Linked DNA regions of Styela clava. The main gene of each other region encodes a partner of the protein of the gene in region 2 in a complex. Links are inferred from orthologs where the notes say so. Each region holds a gene or a part of one and is shown on either strand. Other genes may lie near its edges. The genes, in order: peroxisomal biogenesis factor 19-like, peroxisomal membrane protein PEX14-like and peroxisomal targeting signal 1 receptor-like.

The links.
Region 1: the proteins of peroxisomal membrane protein PEX14-like (region 2) and peroxisomal biogenesis factor 19-like are in contact, whole or in part, in an NMR structure (PDB 2W85), measured with the Homo sapiens proteins. The link is inferred for Styela clava from reciprocal best matches to the Homo sapiens genes PEX14 and PEX19. Residues at the interface, in NP_004556.1 of Homo sapiens: Leu28, Thr31, Ala32, Lys34, Phe35, Asn38, Ser39, Arg40, Val41, Ser44, Thr48, Phe52, Lys56, Leu58; in NP_002848.1 of Homo sapiens: Gln67, Phe70, Phe71, Leu74, Phe75, Ser77.
Region 3: the proteins of peroxisomal membrane protein PEX14-like (region 2) and peroxisomal targeting signal 1 receptor-like are in contact, whole or in part, in an NMR structure (PDB 4BXU), measured with the Homo sapiens proteins. The link is inferred for Styela clava from reciprocal best matches to the Homo sapiens genes PEX14 and PEX5. Residues at the interface, in NP_004556.1 of Homo sapiens: Thr31, Phe35, Asn38, Arg40, Val41, Ser44, Pro45, Thr48, Arg49, Phe52, Lys55, Lys56; in NP_001124497.1 of Homo sapiens: Glu59, Leu62, Val63, Glu65, Phe66, Leu67, Gln70.

Annotation. Positions count from the first base shown.
Region 1 is NC_135254.1:4,399,259-4,407,263, reverse strand, and holds peroxisomal biogenesis factor 19-like, read left to right. Parts: upstream 1-5,000; 5' UTR 5,001-5,018; coding exon 5,019-5,141; intron 5,142-6,182; coding exon 6,183-6,411; intron 6,412-6,928; coding exon 6,929-7,620; 3' UTR 7,621-7,758; downstream 7,759-8,005. Other genes in the region: uncharacterized protein LOC120332696, read left to right, coding at 1,427-1,637; uncharacterized protein LOC120332725, read left to right, coding at 4,173-4,448. UniProt on the Homo sapiens protein: Necessary for early peroxisomal biogenesis. Acts both as a cytosolic chaperone and as an import receptor for peroxisomal membrane proteins (PMPs).
Region 2 is NC_135256.1:10,700,056-10,707,309, reverse strand, and holds the start of peroxisomal membrane protein PEX14-like, read right to left. Parts: upstream 3,008-7,254; 5' UTR 2,842-3,007; coding exon 2,688-2,841; intron 2,363-2,687; coding exon 2,255-2,362; intron 1,753-2,254; coding exon 1,667-1,752; intron 1,325-1,666; coding exon 1,214-1,324; intron 619-1,213; coding exon 526-618; intron 340-525; coding exon 248-339; intron 1-247. UniProt on the Homo sapiens protein: Component of the PEX13-PEX14 docking complex, a translocon channel that specifically mediates the import of peroxisomal cargo proteins bound to PEX5 receptor.
Region 3 is NC_135256.1:14,572,795-14,579,985, forward strand, and holds the start of peroxisomal targeting signal 1 receptor-like, read left to right. Parts: upstream 1-4,093; 5' UTR 4,094-4,153; coding exon 4,154-4,277; intron 4,278-4,945; coding exon 4,946-5,089; intron 5,090-6,037; coding exon 6,038-6,157; intron 6,158-6,535; coding exon 6,536-6,644; intron 6,645-6,997; coding exon 6,998-7,187; intron 7,188-7,191.

The DNA.
Region 1 (8,005 bases), on a different chromosome or scaffold from region 2:
TGCCTCAACCTACTTCATGCACACTTATAGGAAGCCTTGTTTTCTTGCTACATGTTTTTGCCAAGACCTGCTATGAGCATGACGCCTTCCCACTCACTGTCTGTGATATGATTTGTCAAAATGTTCAAGTAATTTCGTATACTGTCTTGCATTGCATGTATCATAATAATTTATGAATTAGGCTTCATAGTCTATTGATTATGGTGTCCTGCTCATGTATCTTATTCAACGTATATATCTTAATGCAGTAATAATAACAAGCATTATTTTAATAACAAATTCTTCTTTGAAGTTCAAAAATGAGCCATAACTCAAAAAAAATCAAGATAAATGGCAATTTCATTTTTTGTTGCATACTAAGGATAGAACATTTCGAAAATACCTTGAAATTTATTTTGAAAAAATCTCATTTTTAAATAAACTCTATAGTGAAATTCTGAAATTCAAAATTTTTGACTATTAGGTACCTATTTTATAACAGTGATTTGAAAGGTTGAATACTACAACATATTTTATATTATTCCTGGAAAATGGATACTGCATGGATTTTAGAACTTCATAATGTGAAATTAATTTTCACTTTCGTAATTAATAATCCTGGCCCTCACCTTTAATATGCATGAATCATTGTTTTTTAATTGTAAAGGGTTTCTTTTATTCTCTTTTCTCATCTCTGAATAACCTGTTTTTAATAGATGTTGGACCAACCATCTAATAAGAATCTTACGAAAAAGCCTAAAAAATGTCTAAAATTCATCTGTTATGAAGTCATGCCATTCAAATCTGCTTTGTCATTCGGTATAGTTTTAAAAGCATCAATTAGAGGAACCCTCATCAATCTTTATCTTCGAATTATAGAGTCCAAATTGAACCTAGAAAACTAGACAATAAATACATTTGCTTCTTTGCTCTAAACAAGGATTTAGATAAGCAACCTTCTGAAGCTGAATCTTTCCATTTATCATATCAAAGCTCACCTTATTTCTCCCACTATGGGTTACACGGGGCTAAAACCTGGGGTAGTTGATCTTTCTGCTATCAATAAGGTCTCAATTTAAATCAGTGGTTCTCGAACTTTTTAAGCCGCGCTCCTTTTTTAGAATTTGTCAAGTCTTGCGCCCCACCTGAAAAATACTAGCTAACGATAAGCTTCAAATATCAGATAGTAAGGCGATAGTATGTTTTATTCAAAAACACGTTGAAAATATGGATGAAACACAAATAACCAAAATAAAAGAATCTAAATATCCAAAATAAGGCGAGCAAGATCAAATCTAACCTATTTATATTTCCAATTAACTTACGTCCCCTCAAAAAATTGTGGCCCATCGTTTGAGAACAACTGATTTAAATCATCCCAGTTCTTCAACATGAAAATTTTTTTATTAAATAAATTTAAACTAATAATATTATTTTTATTTTTTAGGCTCACTGAAGCAGACGTGATGACTAAAGACATCTTCAAATTTCACAAAACCCAAGTTACAATTTCAGTTTATAACGACCAATTTAGAATCCGTCCCACAATCAATATATATAATAGTGAAAATGATTTGATGCAGCTAAAAAATGCTGTGGTAACATATTTGAATGAAAATTATGCCGATTATATTGAATATAAATTGCCTTGTAATTAGAAAGGTGTAATGTTATAACAGGGTATATCATTTTAACTGGGGACCTGTTAGTTCCAAATATACCCAATTTTGGTGCTTGAAATTTATGGTGAAAATTATTGTTTGCGTATTTGCCTTTAATTGTTTTTTGTATAGCAGCCGCTTGAATCTGAGATGATTAAAAGATTTTTCAAAGTGGTGGTTAAATGAAATTTAGAATTTCACTGTTTTTTTTAACTAATAAAATTAACTCTTGTGCTGTTTCATATATGGTTTAACTGTTTAATATATTAATTTATAAAGTCCGAGCTAAACTTCAATATTTAGGAATAATAATTTCTTCCCCAGAGTAAACTCTTTACTCTACATTGGTTGACAGCCCTTTGATATTTGTTGAGTAGTGCCTATGTATATTTTACTTTTGATCAAGTGCCTTTTAAGACTTTGTGATTATAACTTGAATCAGACTTTTGCATGTATTGTGATTTCTGTGAGCCAGGGTTGGTGTCCATAAAGTCTTGTCACAATTTCCATTTCGTTATGAAGTCATTTCTTGATATATGTCAACCATTTTATTAACACTCGCAACCTTTGTCGGCATCGCCAATATAAGGCTGACAAATCAAACCCTGTTACGAAAATTCTTTTTCGTTATATCAATGATTTCTGTAAGTGTAAAAAATATATGAAAACCTGTAACTGCATTTTCATAATGGACTGAAATTTCACCCAATATTCACTATGCATATTCAAATACTGTCTTCTCCCGTGTGGAAATGAGCAAATCTACGAGATTTTTTAATAAAGACAAACTTAGTTGTAGCATATTCCTTTTTTCATTTCAAACTATCCCATTTCTGCATAAATTGCACTAAATATAATACAGCTATCACCAATTTGCCTCATTACATTTATTCTATTAATTATACCCACAGTGTATCATATATAGTCGATTATTAATAAATATTGTTACTGAGTATATATTTCTATGGTTTTAATTATGTTAATGCAATTGCTTTTGTGCAGTGAAAGAACAAATCAATTCTATTTCATATTCTGATAATACAAAAATATGCATGTGCAATTATTAATAGCAGGTGAAAATTAAATTAAAAATGCTATGCTAATATGCTTCATGGTCTGTTGATTTTGGGCTTTTTAATGGGGATGCCGAAACAAATAAGGTAGATAAAAGGGAATTTTTATATTTATCTTCAAAAGAGGTATAAAATCTTTCAAACATCAGCTTCCCATATGGTTAACAGTCCCAACCATATCTTGCACTGCTGTAGTTCACCATTACCTTTTTCACATGCATTGACTCGATGGTTGCAGTTTGTGAACAAATCTACAAAGGTGAAGTAATAGGCAGCACTGTGGATCAGGATTTGAATCCATGAACTCTTGTAGTCAGAGGTGTGATGGTAATTTACCTCTCACCCTTAAGAGGGACTGATATGATAAGAAGGGGTATTTCAACCCATTATTAGTATTGGTTTACCTCCTTGTCATTTTCCGTCACCTGAAAGATTGGAACAAGAAAAAGCATTTAGATCAATGAAAAATTATTTCCAGCATAAATGTATGTAAAATGAACTTCGTCTCGTAAATATTGTGCTTGCAAGTAGCACTTTCTGCAAGACATACAAGCGCATATCGTTTCAGAATTGCACTGTCACATTTGGGCTCCCAAATATAGTTGAAGTAGGTATAGGTAAATAGACGGTGTGGCTAAGCGCTCGGAATTCAACCGCACTTCTGATTACCCTGTGTGGGGATAAAGGATTGCTGGGCTTCTCGCTGCCGTAGGTTGTTCACATAAGGGTGGTTTTCACCGAACCACTGGTTGGTTACGCCTTCCTCGACCACCAAGTCCATGCATCCGAAACAAATAACTGACTAACTAATCCCATACCCGACATGGAATTGTAACCGGACGAGTGGCCGTGGTTCGTCACATGATTAAGCCGTTAAGTCGTCTCATTCCTTTCCTCCCACCCTGGATATATATATATATATGCAAATTCAATTTTAGTCGTGGTCGTTATAATAAGGAAACAGAAAAATGTATGTATGTATGTTTATTTGCCTCAAAAATGTAACAGTGTCTGCATAATAATTAAACAGTAAAACAGAGACGGGATAGATACATGTTCAAGACCTTACTGGTCTAAGATACAGTTGTGCGACATGTACCCCTAGAATGTGCCCCCGAAGTGTGCAATCTTCAAAATCTATAGATTTCAAACCAGACATGAATTTATTTGGTACCCTACAATTTAAAAAAAAATGCATAACTTTGCAAATCTCAGGCTCAACAGAATTAATTGCGAGTATAAATATATATTATGGAGACATTTTCATGCAGGTTCCGGATTTCATCCGGAGCCACTCCTGCACAATACCAACGCTCGATCGGATATTTCACCTCATTGCAAAACATTACTCGCTACGCGATTTACTCACCTGCAATCTGTTATATTTTGTCGTTATTGCTGCATTATTTCAAAATATTGATTACTTCTACGTGTTTAAAGTGAAGAAAAAACGTTTAAAATGGATTTTGATGCAAACGCTTTGCAGGATGTCACGGAACAGCTGAAAAATAATCCAGATCTTGCAAGAATGCTGATAGAAGAACAACAGAAAATGGAAGCGCAAAACCAATTGAAGGTCATCGTCAATAAACTGACATCAGACTGTTGGAATATATGTGTTGATAGAGTTGGAAACAGCCTTGGAAGACAAGAAACATGTCTCACAAACTGTGCTGAAAGGTTTTTAGAATCTGACCAGTTTATAAGGCAGAGAATGAGCTCTCAAAAACAGTAATCATTTTTGAAAAACCTAATTACATTTCAACCTTTTAGGAAATTGAAAGTCAGGATAAAAGCCTTTTTGCTACTTGAAATTATATCCTCCTGAGATCATTAATTGTTGTCTGAATCCAAAATGTTTAAATATGAGTGTATTTTCCGTATGTTCTGCGATACTTATGTCAGGTTTGGTCAGCTTCATTCAGACTTTGACACGATTTGGAACCACCAAGGCGTGACTGATCAGAATATTCTTGCCTGAAAATAAATGTGTCAGTGCTGCTATTTTTCGCTTTTTGACTCCCAGGTTATTTTGAGGTCAAATTGTGTTAATTTAACTAAGCCATTATTGTCTTTTGAAAAATAGCGTCTCCTATAGTGTACAGTCTGACAGTGTACCACACTTGGAGACTAGACCCCATTTTATAATTCCTCATGGCCATGTAATTTTGTTGTCATTTCCAATCTGTGTTACCAACGATCCGATCATTGTTACAAAATGTACTTTCTGAGTTTGAATCAGTTCTAAATTATTTTCCTGTAATTTTCTTTTTGTGTCTTTTTAGTCAAAAATAATTAAATAATAATGGATGCGGATTTAGATGATTTGCTGAACGATGCTTTGTCTGACTTTGATAAAAAGCCAACAGAAGTAAAAGTACCTGTAGAAGGAAGTGAAGAGAAAAAAAATTCACCAGGTTCTTCGAAGGTAAAATGCTGATAGAATGAATTTGGAGAACCATTTTTTTATGCACAGTTTTCTTTGCACCTCTTTTGTATGGCACCTTTTACTCCAAACATGGCCAGGGATGATGCGAGGCGCAGTTCTTACCACTCCATGGCAGCTCCTGCCACAAACGAACCGCGGCAGCTCTTGCCATGGTTTTATAGCGCTATTCAGTATTCAGTTATAACGGTATATTCACAAATTGATATACCCAATTTTAATTGATCATGCGAAATTATATCTACTCAAACCCTAACCCTAACCCCAAATCCATCAAAACTATCCATAAGAAAAACGTTCCAACTTACCCAATATTTATCACCATAAGGGACAGCCCTGTCTTTACGGCCCACCTGCTGATGATGGCCGCTACGGCCAAACCCATGGCGACTAACTTTCTAGCTGCCACAAACCAATGACAGGCTGCCATTGCCGCGGCAGCAAATTGAAAACCAATGGCAGGTAAAATTTTGCTGCCGTAACCACGGCAGGTGGGCCGTGAAGGCAGGGCAGTTCCTTATGGTGACAAATATTGGGTAAGTTGGAATGTTTTTCTTATGGATACAGTTTGGATGGATTTGGGGTTGGGGTAGTAGTAGATATAATTCCGCATGATCAATTAAATCTGGTACATTAATTTGTGAATATACCGTTAATACTGAATAGCGCTATAAAGCCATGGCAAGAGCTGCCGCAGTTCGTTCGTGGCAGGAGTTGCCATGAAGTGGTAAGAACTGCACCTCCAACCGGTACTGAGCTGCTATTTCTCTAAAGGCTTTAAAACAAGCATTCTGTGACATGCAAAAGGCACAATGACTTTTGAAAAAACCAGAATACTATCTGTTTGGAAATTTATAAAACCCTCTGGTTGTATTGATGGATATGGAGGTTGAATTTAAGATCCAAAGATGCGACGAGTAGCGATTTTTCTTTTGAATCGGCTTCTTTTATAATAAGGACCTTTATTAGTTTCCTCAAAGTAAAACTGTAGAAATGTCTGTAAAACAATATTTTTATATTCAGTCTTTAGAACCTCCAAAAGATGTTCCTGCCAGTTCACCCTCGTCTTCAACCTCTCAGAATGTGAGCGTGCCCCCTCCATCAGAAATATTTGATCAATTTTTTGACAATGAAGTTTCTCAAAGACTTCAACAAGAGTGGGAATCCGCAATGAAAGAATTAGTTAATGATGACCCAGAACTTGCGTCACAGTTGAAGAATCTTCCAAGTACTATGGAAAATGCTGCGTCAGGTATGATATGAACAAATGATATATATCAGTATCAGTTCTCCAATTTCAAGATGCCCTGACATTTAGTTCAATAAACACCATTTGATGACACCATTAGCACATAGTTTGGTTCAGTGTGCTTTATCCGCTTCAGTGTCTTTTGTTCGCTGCCTCTCCTAGATATGGCAAAAAACTGATATGGGTTTGGAACCTATCGATTCTATATAAATAAGCTGCTATCCCATTATACATAGGTTCAACTTGGGGACATTATGCTACAACACACTGGGGGAGGCCCCCAATTATGCCTCAGGAAATTGGCTCTCTGGGCAAGATAGCCAAGATATTTAAATTGAGTCTAATGAAGGAAATTTGTCTTTATACACCAATAAGAGGCGACAATGGTGTTTTAATCCAAGATTTCAATCTGCGATGCTAACATACTGGTAGTTAGGTACAGCGCTCTAGGCATCATAGGGCCTTTTTTACTACCCTGTTCAAATCTAATGTTTATTTTGTCTTTTGTTATATTTTTTAGGGGGTGCCGTGCCTTCTGCAATGAGTTCTTCAAGCAATACCGGGCCATCTGGAAGCAGCGCAGGTCAACGACAAGCTAGCCCTGCAGATTTGAACAAAGTGATGGAAGACACAATTTCTGGAATTGGGAGTAGCGCTGATGAACTAAAGAATATGACAGGTGCTACCGAAGAGGAAAAACTGCTCCAAGAAATGAGAAATTTAGGGATGGGGGGAGGGTTGAGTGACATGATGGGTCAAATGGGGGACATGGAAGGGATGGAGAATAATTTTATCTCTATGATGGAAAACATGATGGAGAATTTATTGTCTAAAGACGTTTTGTATCCCACAATGAAACAAATTTCGGAGGTATACCCTGGCTGGTTAGAGTCTAACAAGGATAAAGTACCTGAAACAGACTTCAAGCGCTATGAGCAGCAAAGTCTTGTTATCGTTAAAATTTGTAAAAATTTCGAGGCCGATAATGAAAATGACACCAAAGAAGTGAAAAAGCAAAGGCTGAACGAACTTATGGCTTTGGTAGAAAAAATGCAAGAATGTGGCAACCCTCCCCAGGAATTATTAGAAAAATGTGGTGGGGAGACACCCATGGACATGAGCAGAATATTTGGGGCTGGAGGAGGGGGATTCCCAGGTGGCGGGAACATGTTTGGGCCAGATATGAATCCTGAAAATTGTGCAATTATGTGATTAATTTTCTAATTATTTTTAAATATTTTCAATTGATTATTTATTGATAATTATTAATGTGTTTCAATTTGCTTCATTTAAATTTCATTTCATTAACACTGATATAATTTTTTAAACAAGATGATTGTCAACTATAAGTGTGTTGCCAGATTTATTTTTCAAATTTGTATCGCTGGTTTGAGTTGAAATGGGATTGAAGCCTTGTTTGACGGTGTCGACACCCACCTAAAAAGATCATGGGACTAAAAAGTTGTTTGGGAAAAAAGAAGACTCCCATTCTGATGACTCAGTAAAAAAAGTTAGCGGGATGATGGTTTTATTCAGTTTGAATACCACTATAATGCTAGAAATGATGCCGATCTCCACAGTTCTGAAAGGTTTTACA
Region 2 (7,254 bases):
AGTTTCTCTTTGGCTTCACATACAAAAATGTAACCGCCGTGATACATTGCTACAATCTTTCCCCAAATTTATTTTAAATTGCTAAACTGCGTTTCCATCATGCTGTAACTTGTTCAATTATACAACTTGTTTAGGTCTTTTGACAATGCATTACTGAGAAAAATCATTTTTGATTTTTTTTAATTTTCAAACTTTTCACCAACATAGGAACTATGAGCACTCCGAGTCACAAAAAATTGACATTTACCTGCTCAAAAGTAATCCTTTGATCGACGTTATTTCTGCTTTTAATTCTCCGATTGCTGAATTAGATACAGTTCCATATCCCGATTCAGCCTGCTAGATAATTTAAATATGCCTAAGTAAATTGAAGTGTCAAATAAAATCCACTCTTGTACATATCTGTTACAATACCATGTCATATTCTTTAAAGAAAAAAATTTATCTCCAAATTCCATAGTTTCATTCTATAGTTTTTACTACTTCAAGTGTATACAAATAAGAAATATACTAGTTAGTACTAACTCTGAAAGATGTTAAATTTGCAGCCACTTGACCAAGTTTTGCATTTTGAGTTCCAAGATGATCTTGCATTTCATTCATAGAACTTCGGATTTCCTAAATAAAAAATTTTTCTTATTCCACAAATCAGCAAAAAGCACAATTTCTATGAATTATCACAATGGTTTTTTGAAGTTTCAAATACACAGAAAGGTAAAGGCATTTAAATGTTAACAGATGAAGTAGATTTTTGTTCGTGTCGGGGTTAGAAAATGATGCACTGATTGTATACAATATGATTTTAGGATGTAAAACCACAATAAAATGATAGAAATGATTTCAAACAACAAATAATTAAAACCACAACAACGTTTATCCATCGGATTAATGTTAGGAGGAATTTACTTTATTTACAGTACTCCATGACAAACGAGGTCTGAAACAAATGGATTTTCTCTACAGCTTTCCCTCAGTCGATATTTTTGTTTCGTTTCGAGAAACACTGAAGTATCATTTAAACCAAGGGAATTTTTGAAGGGTACGATAATAATACATCCAAGAACCCAGGCGCAGATGTTGAGAGTTTGAAAATAAAGTATTTTACAAATAAAGAGTTTTATATAAAATATTTTAGAATGGAAGTATTTAACAAAAAGTTTATATACGGTAAACCTACCATTGCACATCACCCATGAATGCATTTATGGTATACCTGCATATTTTGTGTTAATTCCTCCTGAACATTTTTCAAACCTTCTTCCATCTTTTCAAGTTTTTCTTCTTGTAATTTAGCAGATTTCAGGAAAATTGGTTCAATAAATCGCTGAAATAGAAAGAGAAAAGATTAAAGTTAGTAAATAGTTAAATTGAATATGAAATGACATGGATATAACTTCGAAAATGTTGATTGATGGGAAAGATAATTAATTCTTCTCTTGACTATAAACTTTGTCAATGACAATTTATCAGTACATAGATACAAATAGAACTTGGAAAACTGGTAATTCTGCTGTATTTCAGCTATCGAGTCAACATAAAAATCTGTTACAAATCTCAATAACACCAGAAAATCACTGAGTTATAATTACGATAAGAATCATGTGATACAATCAGTAAATCAAACAACAATACAGTAGAAGTGAAAATTATACGAAAAATTCACAACCTTATACAAATAGTATAGTCCATAAACAACACCTCCAACTATGACTGCGATAGCAGAATATTGCCGAATTCGGGTCCAAGCAGAAACTGAAAGAAAAACAATATATAAAGTATTGATCTCAAAATCAAAAAGTATTTATAATTCAATAATTAGGAAGGAATTAAGATAAAATGATAAATCTAAAAAATTACTATCTACTACTATCAACAATCTAAAGGTAACAAAAACTAATATGATGGATTAAAAATATTAAAAACTTCTGTTACCAATCTAGGTTGATTATGTCGCAAGGTATTTACATTTTACCTATGAGAACATGAAATTGCTGTCAATAAAATTAAAAAGAATGTGTGACGAATAATGTTTTCTGTATCTTTAGGAACAGAATTGGACATGAATTTAGAATTCAGATAGGCCTATCTAAAATTATATTTGAAATAAAAAATATTCAAACATTGAGTGAATGTTATAATGTTTTCTGTGTCTAAAAATAATATGAACAAATAAATATTTCAAATAATTGGATTACAGCAACAAGTGTGTGACACCTTACTGGTATTTATGAATTTCTATATATAAATTGTAAACCTGGCGGCATAGCGATTTGTTCGGAATTTGACAACGGCACTGATACATGATGATCAGAGGAAGAATTTGATCTTGAGACTGCAATTTCTATTTCTTTATCCGTTAATCCTAAAAAGAATTTAAATATATTACTGTATTAGAAGACCCGAAGACAGCCACCATATCCTGATAACGTTGATCCTAAAAATAATTGCAATATAATAAAAGACATGAAGACAGCCACCATATCCTGACATCACAGTTATTTTGTTTTCAGATGCACAAACTTTTACGGTTGAGGAAGCCCCAACCTACAGATCTGACCAGCGATTATTCCAAAACATTGCCAACACCCATTGTGCTGTTGTGCAGAAAAATTAAGATGTAGCCTAGCCTAGTTATTATATTATTAAAATAAATTATTGATTTCTGCATCCCTTAGTTTTTAACTCACCTTTCTTTAAAAGAAACTGTTTCTTTTGCTCCAGCGGGCTTTGACTCACTTTGGTGCTCTGAAGAAATTTTACAGCTGTGGATATTAAAGATTCGCGTGGCGGTGCCGGTGGTAACTCTGGTATATTCTCCGGCAAAGAGCTCATTTCGGGCATTTTTCCAACATGGATAATCAGACTCACTACTAAACGCTGGACAGCACAGGCGCAAACTCTGGCAGTTGCGGCAAACTTCTGATACGAAACGAAATGAAAAATTTATGATGGCGTTTTTGTTTTGATCAAATATTGTTCGACCTTTGACCTTCAAAAGTGCATGAATAAATCAAATACTGTACTGTACTTCTTTACTTTGTTGATAATAAAATATTAATAAAATATAATAATAAAATATTAATAATATATTAATAAAAACAAAATATGTTAGACTAGGCTAAAAGTATATGCCCATACTTCTTATTTGTCCACCTAGTTCGGTACCGCTACGTAACATCACCAGGCAGGTTAAAAACGACCTGCAAAAACAACAACAGGTACCATTATGACGCAACAATACAAAGTAAGCACACGTGTGGGGACCACAAAATATGGGCTAGAGATGTACCCATGTATCGGTATTGGCAATATCGGCTATTTTTCCGGTATCAGTCAAATATCGATATTTCCGATATATTCACCTTTTTGATATGATCCAGAATGTTTTAAAAGATATGTTAAAATATTACTTTTTAATTTATTTTTCGCCCGGAGAGATCGTGAACTATGAGCCATGCATGTCTCGACTCCCGCGAGTGGTAACGGTAATAGAATTCACCTGTTTTTAAATATTTACTAGCAGAAATAGCTCATCTAATCATCTATGCGCGGCGGTGTGTCTCAACGGGCTAAGCGTTAGGAATACGCTCGCCACCGCACCTCTAATTACTCTCGAATCCCATGCAGGGATGGTTATGTGCGAGAGGATTGCTGGACTCCTCGCCGTCGTTGGGTGGTTCACGTAACCGCTGGTCGGTTACGGCTTCCTCCACCACCAAGTCCATGCTTCCGAAAACAAACAATATACCTAATCTCATACCCGACCTGGAATGGTAACCGGACGAGAGGCCGTGGTTCGCCATATGGATAAGCCGTCTTATCGGCTTTCCTCTCCCCGGGATAAATATGTAAATCCTAATTTGGCTATTTTCGCTGCCAAATTTTTATATTGACATTTTTAATGCATATTAATTATGGGGGGAATATATATATATCAATACGGCACAGAGAAGAGAGCAACTAAGCGCCCAGTTTTAAATCATACAGTGGAATCGAAGTCCTTTTTTACAGCACAGGGTCTTTTTGGCGCGGTAATAAATTCTGACTGTTTATCGTCAAGCGCGAGTGTCATTCAGTCCATCGACATCGTTAAGCTAAATTCCGACGCAATTATCTCTCTACACAGGTATCAAATATTGTGATTATATTAATTTTAATTTTGTTTGAATACACAATTTATTTATAGATTTATTGATGTGGCCGCCTAGTATTATATATACGTATTATAGGTACTTCTAGTCGGCGCTGATTGATATTCTTTCATTTTGGCTGTAATTTATTGCCGCGACAATCACAATTATACACGAAAAATGATATTCGAGGTTCGCGATATTAATATTAAATTAGAATTGGACATCCCGGCATATGAGTTTTCTAATTGAACACCGAGTTTACTAGCGTCAGTGTACAATGCATCCGAATCAATTAATGCATCTGGATACCAAACATCGATTTCTCATGTGATATATATATCTCTTTTTCAATCTGAAATAATGTGTACTATGAATAACGCTCAGAGACAATAGTTTTAACCCGTCTGCCCTACACAGCACACTTAATTAAGGTAATAATTACATAGTATCGGAATATCGGCCTTTTTGTAATATCGGCGTATCGGTATCGGCGATTTTAGTTGGTATCGGTATCGGCGACAAAAGTGGTATCGGTACATTTCTAGTACGGGCGCGGTAAATCCATTAACACTAAGTCCAGTTGAACTGTTACAATTTCAGTCAAAAAAGTTTGGTCACCAGGGACTAGTCATATTTTGTACTTTTTATGGTATTCAATTAGACTTAGTATATACTATAGTAGAGATGCACGAGCCTAGGACGTAGTATTTATAGAATATATATGAAATTTTCAGGAAATTTTTCATCTTTAAATGGCAGTAGTTTTACATAATCATAGCGTAGTTTTGTGAATAAAAGGTGCGGAGCCTTTTTAAACATGGCAAAAATTTTTAGAAGAGGCATATGTCTTATAATTTTATTTATCAAAAACAAAATTATAAAGTACAGAATTAGGAGATTTTTAAATATAAAAAATATGAAAACCGATATCCATTTACTTAAATAACACGTTTTCCTCTTTCACACGTTTTAGATTAATCATTTTAAAACGTATGGGAGAGATTTCTTGCTATCGACCAGGAAAAAACAAATTTGCGTTATTGACAAGGTCTTATTTTAAGGGGAAGGCTTATATTAAAATCATTCTTAAAATTCAGGCTAGGTCTTATTTTCGGGGGAACACGGTAGCGATACGACCCTTCAAGGTCACATATTTGCCCAGACGATGTTGCCATATTGTTACGTTTATCGCATTTTTGAAACTTGGCTTTACTAAAGTAAATATCAAGCCGAAATGTGTTGTTTGCGAGAAATTTTTAGGTTGATTAAACGCAGAGCTTGAAGCAGGGATGTCCAATTCGTTTTCGATTGAAAATATTTTACAATTAATATCGTATATTTTAATTTAGTCGAAATAGTTTGTGCGGTCTCGGCAATTGCGTAAATCTAAAAGCAAATTGGGTCGTAATTAATCGTTCTTTAAATCAGCGCCGACTCGAAAAATAAAACACTATTTCCGGTCTTAATTCACCATCATTAGCAGATTGGCTGAAATTTGGGGATCGGGTCCACTCATTTGATTATGGCGATGAACGCGTAATTTGCGTTTTTTGAATCGACGAATCGTTTCGTGAGCAAAATTTAAGCCCGTGGTAGCTGCCCTGCCAGACGCCCAGCAACTACCTGTCATCTCGTTGTCTCGCTTGTTTCCCGCGCTTACGTACTATGTGTCTCAATCAGTTTCAGTTGCTAGCGAAATTCAGTAAGAAGAAACAAAACAATGAAAAACAGAAAAGCAAAATAAAAATTCTACTATTAAATTCAAATTTTGAATTTCATGTGTATGATCACTCACCTAAAATTATTGAATCAATTCATACACGCTCACACACAACCACAGGACTATAATAAAGTTACAAAAAAGAGAGAAGCATTAGATAAATTATATGGTAAACAAAAGAAATAAATAAATACGAAAAAAAGAAATTATAATAAAAGATAGGAATTGTGATAAAAAATAAGAATTGTTTTTTACACCATTTTATTAATTTTATAAAAAATTCCAATCCAAGAGTGAACAGTATTTAATATAAAGACAAAACAAGATTACGCCAAGCTGAATATAAATGGAGTCAAATGCCAAATTGCCCAACCAAAGTTGAGTGCATGGAGAGGTGGACTAAACCGCTTCATTCACCAATGAAATGCCAAAATATTGCCAAATTGTAGTCCAGGGTACATCAGTTATTAAATGCTACCGGTAAAAAAATCTAAATTTGAATTATAGGTATCGTTAAACGTCAATTCCTTCCTATTTTTCGAACTGAACCGGATATTTGGACAGAGAATATGCGCATGAACTCTCGATGACAATATGGTCAATGAAGACAGCTGGGATATCTTTGAATGTAAGCGTATGCAGTAAAATCGGAAAAGGCAAAGTTACAAAAATATGGTAACCCTACTTATGGGGCCTATATTTTTTATTAATTATGATTGATAGAAAGTCATATACGATATTGTATAAACATTTGGATGCATCGTCAAAAAGGTATTACAGGAAAAATTCAAAGTGTCTGTAATCAGTTCTTGAGAATGACTTTTGATAGGGGCCGGAGAGATGGTGTTGCGGATTTGTTCAAAAGTGAAAAACTACTACGTGTTGAAGATTTACTAATACTAGAGATTTGCACATTGACGTGTTATCTTCTACTGGTCAACTCACTAGTTGCTTTGATCGTATATTCGCGAATAATAATACCCGAAATAGCAGAAGTCACGACAGATTTTTTGTTCCGTATGTTAGAACGTCAATAGCACAAGAATCGGTCACATTCGTTGGGCCTACAGTATGGAACCCATTTCCTAATAGTATTAAAAGCTCGAAAACGACGTCCGAATTTAGATCCAAGCTTAAGAGACATTTATTGGAATTCTATTAGATTCATTGAGTTGAGGACATCCTACTTTTCATACATTATTTTCCAGATACAAAGGGACCATAGAAGATGAGAGAAGAACTACAGAGATTTCACACAATAGCGCTTATGAAAGTGGCCCGCATTTTATGCCAGACTGCCAGACTGTATTGTTCCCATATCTTTTTCCAGTGCAAACTATGATTAACAACTCAAGTTAGGTTTAGGTTAGGCTCAAGGTTTTCCACATTTATCCTTTACAA
Region 3 (7,191 bases), about 3.9 Mb from region 2:
CTTGCAGTTTGGTGGAAATTACGCCACACATCATCTCGAGTGATGCGTAGAAGAGTGTGTTGTGCCGAATTTGAAACAAATGAGTCAATCACGAAAAATTCATTTTCATTCATTTCCGTCCCGTAATTTGATGTTATTTGGAGTGCCGCATAAACGCATTCGGCAGTTTTAACGCCGCCGAAAACAACGATTAACAAATGTTGAATGTATTTCTTTTGGTCCCGTAATTTGGTGTTATTTGGAGTGCGCATGCACGCATTCGGCAGATTTAAAGCCGCCGAAAACAACGATTTATTAAAAAACGGTCAATGTTTTGTTTTTTTCGGTTAATCGCTCTCTTTTTCCGAATCGCGTAAATCTGATTCGAATCGATTCGGAAAAGATGCGATTCGAATCGATTCGTAAATCCTATTAACGGCACATATACTTTTGGCACGGGTATAAATTCTGATTGTTTGTCGTCAAGTACGCGTGTCATTTAGTCCATCGACATCGATAAACTAAATTCCGACACAATTATTAGGTATTAATTTAATTTTGTTTAACTACACAATTACTTTATAGATATATTGACGTGACCGCCTATCCCTCTAGAATGTCTCAAAATATATGATAGCAATTGTAGAATATTATAAAATAGTAAAGTAAAAAAACATCCTCGACGGTTATAGGTAGGCCTTCTTTTTGTCGGTGCTGATCGATATTCTTTCATGTTGGCTTTGACTTATTGCGTCGACGATTACGATTAGCCACGAAGGAAAATATTTGTAAAATGCTTTTAATTTGAACGTAGGACGGCGGCGCTAGAATGTGTGGGTGATATTCGATATTCTTTTAAACACGAACAACAATATTCGAAGCTCGCGATATTGACATTAAATTCAAATTGGACGACCCGGCTTATGAGTTTTCTAATTGAACACCGAGATTACTAGCGTTACTGTACATTGTACAGTGTATCTTAATCAGTTAAAGCAAACACCAAACATTAATCGGTATCGGTACATCTCTAAATATAACTGGAATAAAATTATGCCCTAACCCAAACCTGGTACACATTCTACGTTCCGGTGTCCGCCATCTTGGTGCACATACTACGGAGCGCCTTTATTTCATCGTTTTTGTTAGGGTTACATGTAGCTCACGGTGGAATGATGAAAATCAGCCAGGGGCGCAGTCAGGATTTTAAAAAGGGTGTGTTTCAAAACCGAAAATTTCCATTCCCTTATGAAACAGTCGCCGCGATTACGCTCTCATTGAAAAGGCCGAGTTTTTCAGCGTATACCAACATTCTCTCCAGTAAAATATTCATTTCATGATAGCTACGAGAATCTAAAACTTTCTTCTATATTGATATAATCTTGTGTCCAACGTAACTCGCGGTTACGTCTTCTTGCGTCAAAATATAAACATTATTAGTCTGAAATACCACTCAATCTTTTGATGTAAAAATATGAGATAAACATGCCTAATGGCTAATTGTATTTAGTTTCGATTGATTGTATAATAACTCTCAGCGAATTTCAATTCTGGGCAAAAATAAAGTAATTATTATCGTTGTCGTGAAATAATTGTTGTGATTCAGGGAGAATAAACACCAACTAAAAGTGTTTACGGCCTAAATAACACGTCACGCTGATAAAAACAATCAGGAATTTTAGCGAAAAGCAATCGCACGCGCTATTTGTGACTTTTTCAGTTTTCCATGAATTTGAAAGGAGGGGGGAATTATAAAATCGCGAGTGGAAGGACTTTCTATTAATATTTGAAAATTGCAAAATTTAACCCTTTTTCGCTTTACGTAATTTTTATGAAAAGGGGTATCTTCAACAGGGAAGTACTCCCTTTTCTAAGTTTGAGTAGTTTTAGATTCAATGTGGGTGATAAACTTCATATATTCTACTTTGAAATGAAATTATAAAATCGCGTGCCTCTTGAGCGGAAGATATTTCTATTAATATTTGAAAATTGCAAAATCAAACACTTTTTCGCTTTACGTAATTTTGATGAAAAGGGGTATCTTCAACAAGGGAGTACTCCCTTTTCTAAGTTCGAGTAGTTTTAGGTTCAATGTGTGTGATAAACCCTATATATTCCACTTTAATATGAAATTATAAAATCGCGTGCCTCTTGAGCGGAACATATTTCTATTAATAATTGAAAATTGCAAAATTTACCTATTTTTATGTTTCACGTAATTTTGATGAATAGGGGTATCTTCAACAAGGAAGTTCTTCCTTTTCTAAGTTGGAGTAGTTTTAAGTTCAATGTGTGTGATAAACCTTATATATTTTACTTTGATATGAAATTATAAAATCGCGTGCCTCTTGAGCGGAAGATAATTCTATTAATATTTGAAAATTGCAAAATTTAACCCGTTTTCGCTTTACGTATTTTTGGTGAAAAGGGGTATCTTCAACAGGGGAGTACACCCTTTTCTATGTTCGAGTAGTTTTAGGTTCAATGTGTGTGATAAACGTCATATACTGTACTTTGATATGAAATTATAAAATCGCGTGCCTCTTGAGCGGAAGATATTTCTATTAATATTTGAAAATTGCAAAATTTAACCCTTTTTCGCTTTACGTAATTTTGATGAAAAGTGGTATCTTCAACAGGGGAGTACTCCTTTTTCTGGGTTCGAGTAGTTTTAGGTTCAATGTGTGTGATAAACTTCATATATTCTGCTTCGATATGAATTTATAAAATCGCGTGCCTCTTGAGCGGAAAGACTTTCTATTAATATTTGAAAATTGCAAAATTTAACCCTTTTTCGCTTTACGTAATTTTGATGAATTGAGGTATCTTCAACAGGGAAGTACTCCCTTTTCTAAGTTCGAGTAGTTTTAGGTTCAATATGTGTGATAAACTTCATATATTCCACTTTGATAAGAAATTATAAAATTGGGTGCCACTTGAGCGGAAGGACTTTCTATTAAGAACATATTTGGACACAATTTATCCCATGTCTGATCTCGAATCTATGCGAGACGCTCTATTAAAAGCGCAGAATAATTTCTTATGAAATTTTCATAACATCGACTGCGTTTTTCACAGCACTAATATTGTTATTAAAATCACCGATTGTTCAAAATCGGAAATTCCCATGCAACGGCTTCTAAAACGTTCGCCGAGATTGTGTGTTCGTTAAAACGGCTGACGTATTCAGCGTACAATGACTCTTATGTGGCGTGAAATATTTAATCCGCGACAACTACAGGAATTTGAAAAGTCCTTCTATATTAATTTAATTGTGTTCAGTGTAACTCGTTGTTGCGTCGATAGAGTCTACTGTAATATACTACTGTGGACATAATAATGTGAGATAAATTGCGTCAACAAAATGAAAGCGTTATTTCTCAAATTAACACGGTAATCCGCGGACATAAAAATGTGTGGTAAAGTGCCTGATAATATCGTGTTGTATGTAATTTGTATTTTCGCAAATTTGATAAATCTGAGCTGTTCTTGTAATATTGACACGGCTCTATCGCATTTCTTTCGGTTGTAATGCTTTTAAGACAACCGTTAGACAAATCCCTGCGACAGCAATAAAATTTCATTGAGTTAAATTTAGTTCAAAAAGTTGATGGAAGATACTTTACACATTAATTATTTTATATAAAAAGTTACGCTAGTTTCCCGCCGGTATTTTTACAATGAATAAAAAGTGCCTCGCTCGCACAATTGACAAAAAATAAATAAACAATATGTAATTTTAATCTTTCTTCATGAAACAAGACATTTGTCTTCCGCTATTTGTCATTACGGCTAAATAACACGTCACGCTACCGAAAATAATCGGCTATTTTAATAACAACATTAGCGCTGTGAAAATCGTCAATTGTGCGTTTTCACGGCGATTGTTGGTCTCGGATGGTTGGTCTTGATGTTTCTTCCATATCTATAATCGAGAGCAATTCCATAATCGAGAGCAATTCTGCCGTGTGGAATTTAGAAATCGCCTACGTTTTACTCCATCACCCTTCAAAAAGCACAAAGCTGTAATATCACTCTTCAATGAGCACAAAAACGAGACTTAACGCACCGCTGCGCACAATTCGAAGAAGGTTTGCTACTAGCTTCACAGTGGTCATTCATCGCAGTTCGAGTTTCTGAGTTGGCTCGCTGCGGAAGGCTTTTCCGAAGTAAAATGTCTGCGATTAAGGAACTGGTGGCAGGTGAATGTGGAGGGGCTAATCCTTTGATGAAAATAACTCAGCACGTTAACCAGGATTTATCGTTTCAGCATCGAGGACTGACTAACAGAGTAAATGGTAAGGGTCCTTGGTTTATTCATCCGTCTGTCAATTCTGCAATTGGTCAATCATTCTGTAGAGTGCAGGTTAGATTTATGCACCGTTGGGTGATCACATTCCTGCATTCAGATACTGTATTATAATTACCATACCAAAAGTCTGAAATCCCTTTTATCACCAGTAGCGATAACATCTACTAACATTAATATATGGTTCAACAATCAATCGTTTATAAGTATGTAGAAAACTGATACACAACAACCTGACAACATCATTTGGTGATATATTGATGATACAATCAATAATACAGGGTGTGACTTTATACGCTGATATGAGTGAATATGTATTTTCATACATAACAACTCCCATAACAATGCTCTAGACAAGCATTCTTGATACATCATGCAACAGTGACCATGCTGTTCTATGCTGAGAATGATGGTCATCCCGGATCCTCTACCCAATTTTCATACATTTTATATATGAATGAGATGTTGAAAATTGAGGCAGATTTCGTCAACTTGTTATGTCAACAATGGTTCAACAGTTTTACCATTAGGTCATGAAGTGTTTAAACAGCTGATGATAGTTCTTTATATCTTCACCCTAATAATCGTTTGAAGATTGTCTAGTTCAATAATATCAAAAATTTTTCTAACATTGTAATATTTGATGTGTTTTTTCAGGCCATGGAGCTCATCAACCTCTCGCGGAACAATATGCAAATGAGTTTCTTCAAGATCATCAAATGGTGGTCAAACATCCACAGACATTCGATATGGGACGACTGTTACATGAAGCACGTTTACTGGATTCCAGACCACCACAACGTAAAACATTTTACTCTGCCTTATACTATTGTGTGAAGTTTACTCATCTATTTATTGTACATATCGTCGATGTGCCGTACCTCTTTGTCCTGTGTATTGTACAAGAGTTTTAATTGTATATTCCATGTCTGTTGTCCTACTATAACGCAGCAGTCCTAAACTGCAGTTATACTTGTTGGGGTTCATGTCGCACATCTGTGTTTTTGGCCAGTAAGGTCTTGAACATGTATCCCGTCTTTGTTATACCGTTTAATTATTATGCATATACTGTTATATTTTTGAGACAAATAAACATACATACATACATACTATGTGCCAAGCTTTGGTTGAGCAATTATTACTTATCGATCTTAAGATCGGTAAGTATATTGATAGGTATTTGTCTGTATGTATGTATGTCTGTCTGTGTGTCTGTTAGATGCACGCGATATCTCACGAAAGCGAGATTGAATCTGCTCCAGATTTTGCATGTGCATTCATCTTATCTCGGACCAGATTCTAATTGATTTTGGGCGAATTATGTCGTATAATTAGCGAGTTATCAATCAATTATTGATTAAGTGATCTAGATTTTTGTAAAGCGAGAGAATTTTGAGACCCGCCGAGTGTGTGTGTGCGATGCGCAGTGCGCAAGTTACACGAGCGGATGAATCGAAACTGCAGTTTCTGTTTTGGGGGATCCCCTAACTATCGATCGATAAGTATTCGGTTTCCAACCGATATTCTCGTTGGTGTTTTTTATTGAAACCTACATACTCAGGTCTTGTTCACATTTTATTGAGTCAATGGGTATTGCTTGTGATTTGAAAATTATTGCATTGATGGATATGTAATGTTGTGCAGAGTTTTTGCTGTAAATGACTTTGTGATTAATGATTTGTCTAGATATAGCTTGAATTAGCTCATGGTATTTTTAAATCAAATAATAGCACGCTATTCAATCAACAGAAATTCAAATCTCAGTTACTGCACAACATTGGGAAAAAGATTTTCAAAGTTTTAGGCCTGCTCCATTTCGAGAAACTGGACGTGAAGAAGCTCTGTGGGCTGAAGAATTTTTGCGACATGGTGAATATAAATTTAAGTTATATGTTATTGTTTATCAGACATTTTCTTGTTGTTTGCTTCAATTTTCCTTATATTTTAGTAGGGTTAGATGTCTTGTGCTTTTCATTGTTTATGATGTGTTATTTCAAAAACATGAAGTCATATCATTAAGAACTTTAGAGAATTTAAATATTACCAGAGTCTGTGCCAGGATATTAGGAATAGAGTGTATATTTATAACTCAGTGGCTTAACAAGCTGAACAAAATTCTTTGTTCAATTGCTGACTTCATGTGATTTGTATTTGGTCGAAAATTCTGAACACATGTTGAACTTATCACATTATTCCCTGTTCATTGGTATGTTTCTCATAATTTTTGTCCATTTATCAACTTTTCAGAACAACATCAAGAAATACCTTTTTATAATAATTTGAATGGACCTAATATGATGGGTTATGAACCTGCCAGAATACGAGAAATAGATGATGTTACAAGTACTGAAGACTGGTGAGATATTATCTTATGATTGACTTAGATCTGACATGTATTATGCCTTGTGGTCCCTCACGGAGGCTTTTAGCACTGATAGCCATCCCCCTGTTTATCATTTTGCCCCTGACATGGTGGTCCCTCTCCAACTGCTCTGCGGCCCCATGGTAGGCCACGGGCCCCCGATTGAGAACCACTGTTTTATGTCCATGCATGAACTTTTAGGTACTGGTATGTATAATATTACCAGATAATGTTTGTTCCGTTCGAAATTCTTTTTTCATTCCAAACTGAATCCTAAAGTGATTTTTAGTTGGTATATATGACTTTTATCATAGTCTAATATCTTTCAACTGATGATGTTTTTCCAGGTCAAAGGAATTTGGCAGTGAAGTTCAAGAAAAGACAGAATTACAGAAAGCGGCAGATGAAATGGTCGAATCATTCTCGAAAGACAATAAAATATCAAATACCGAATTTTTTGATTTTGTTTCAAGTCTTGGTACAAAAGGTAAAGCAGATGATTGGACATCAGAATTTGTGGAAGAGAATGGAAGTCAGGTAC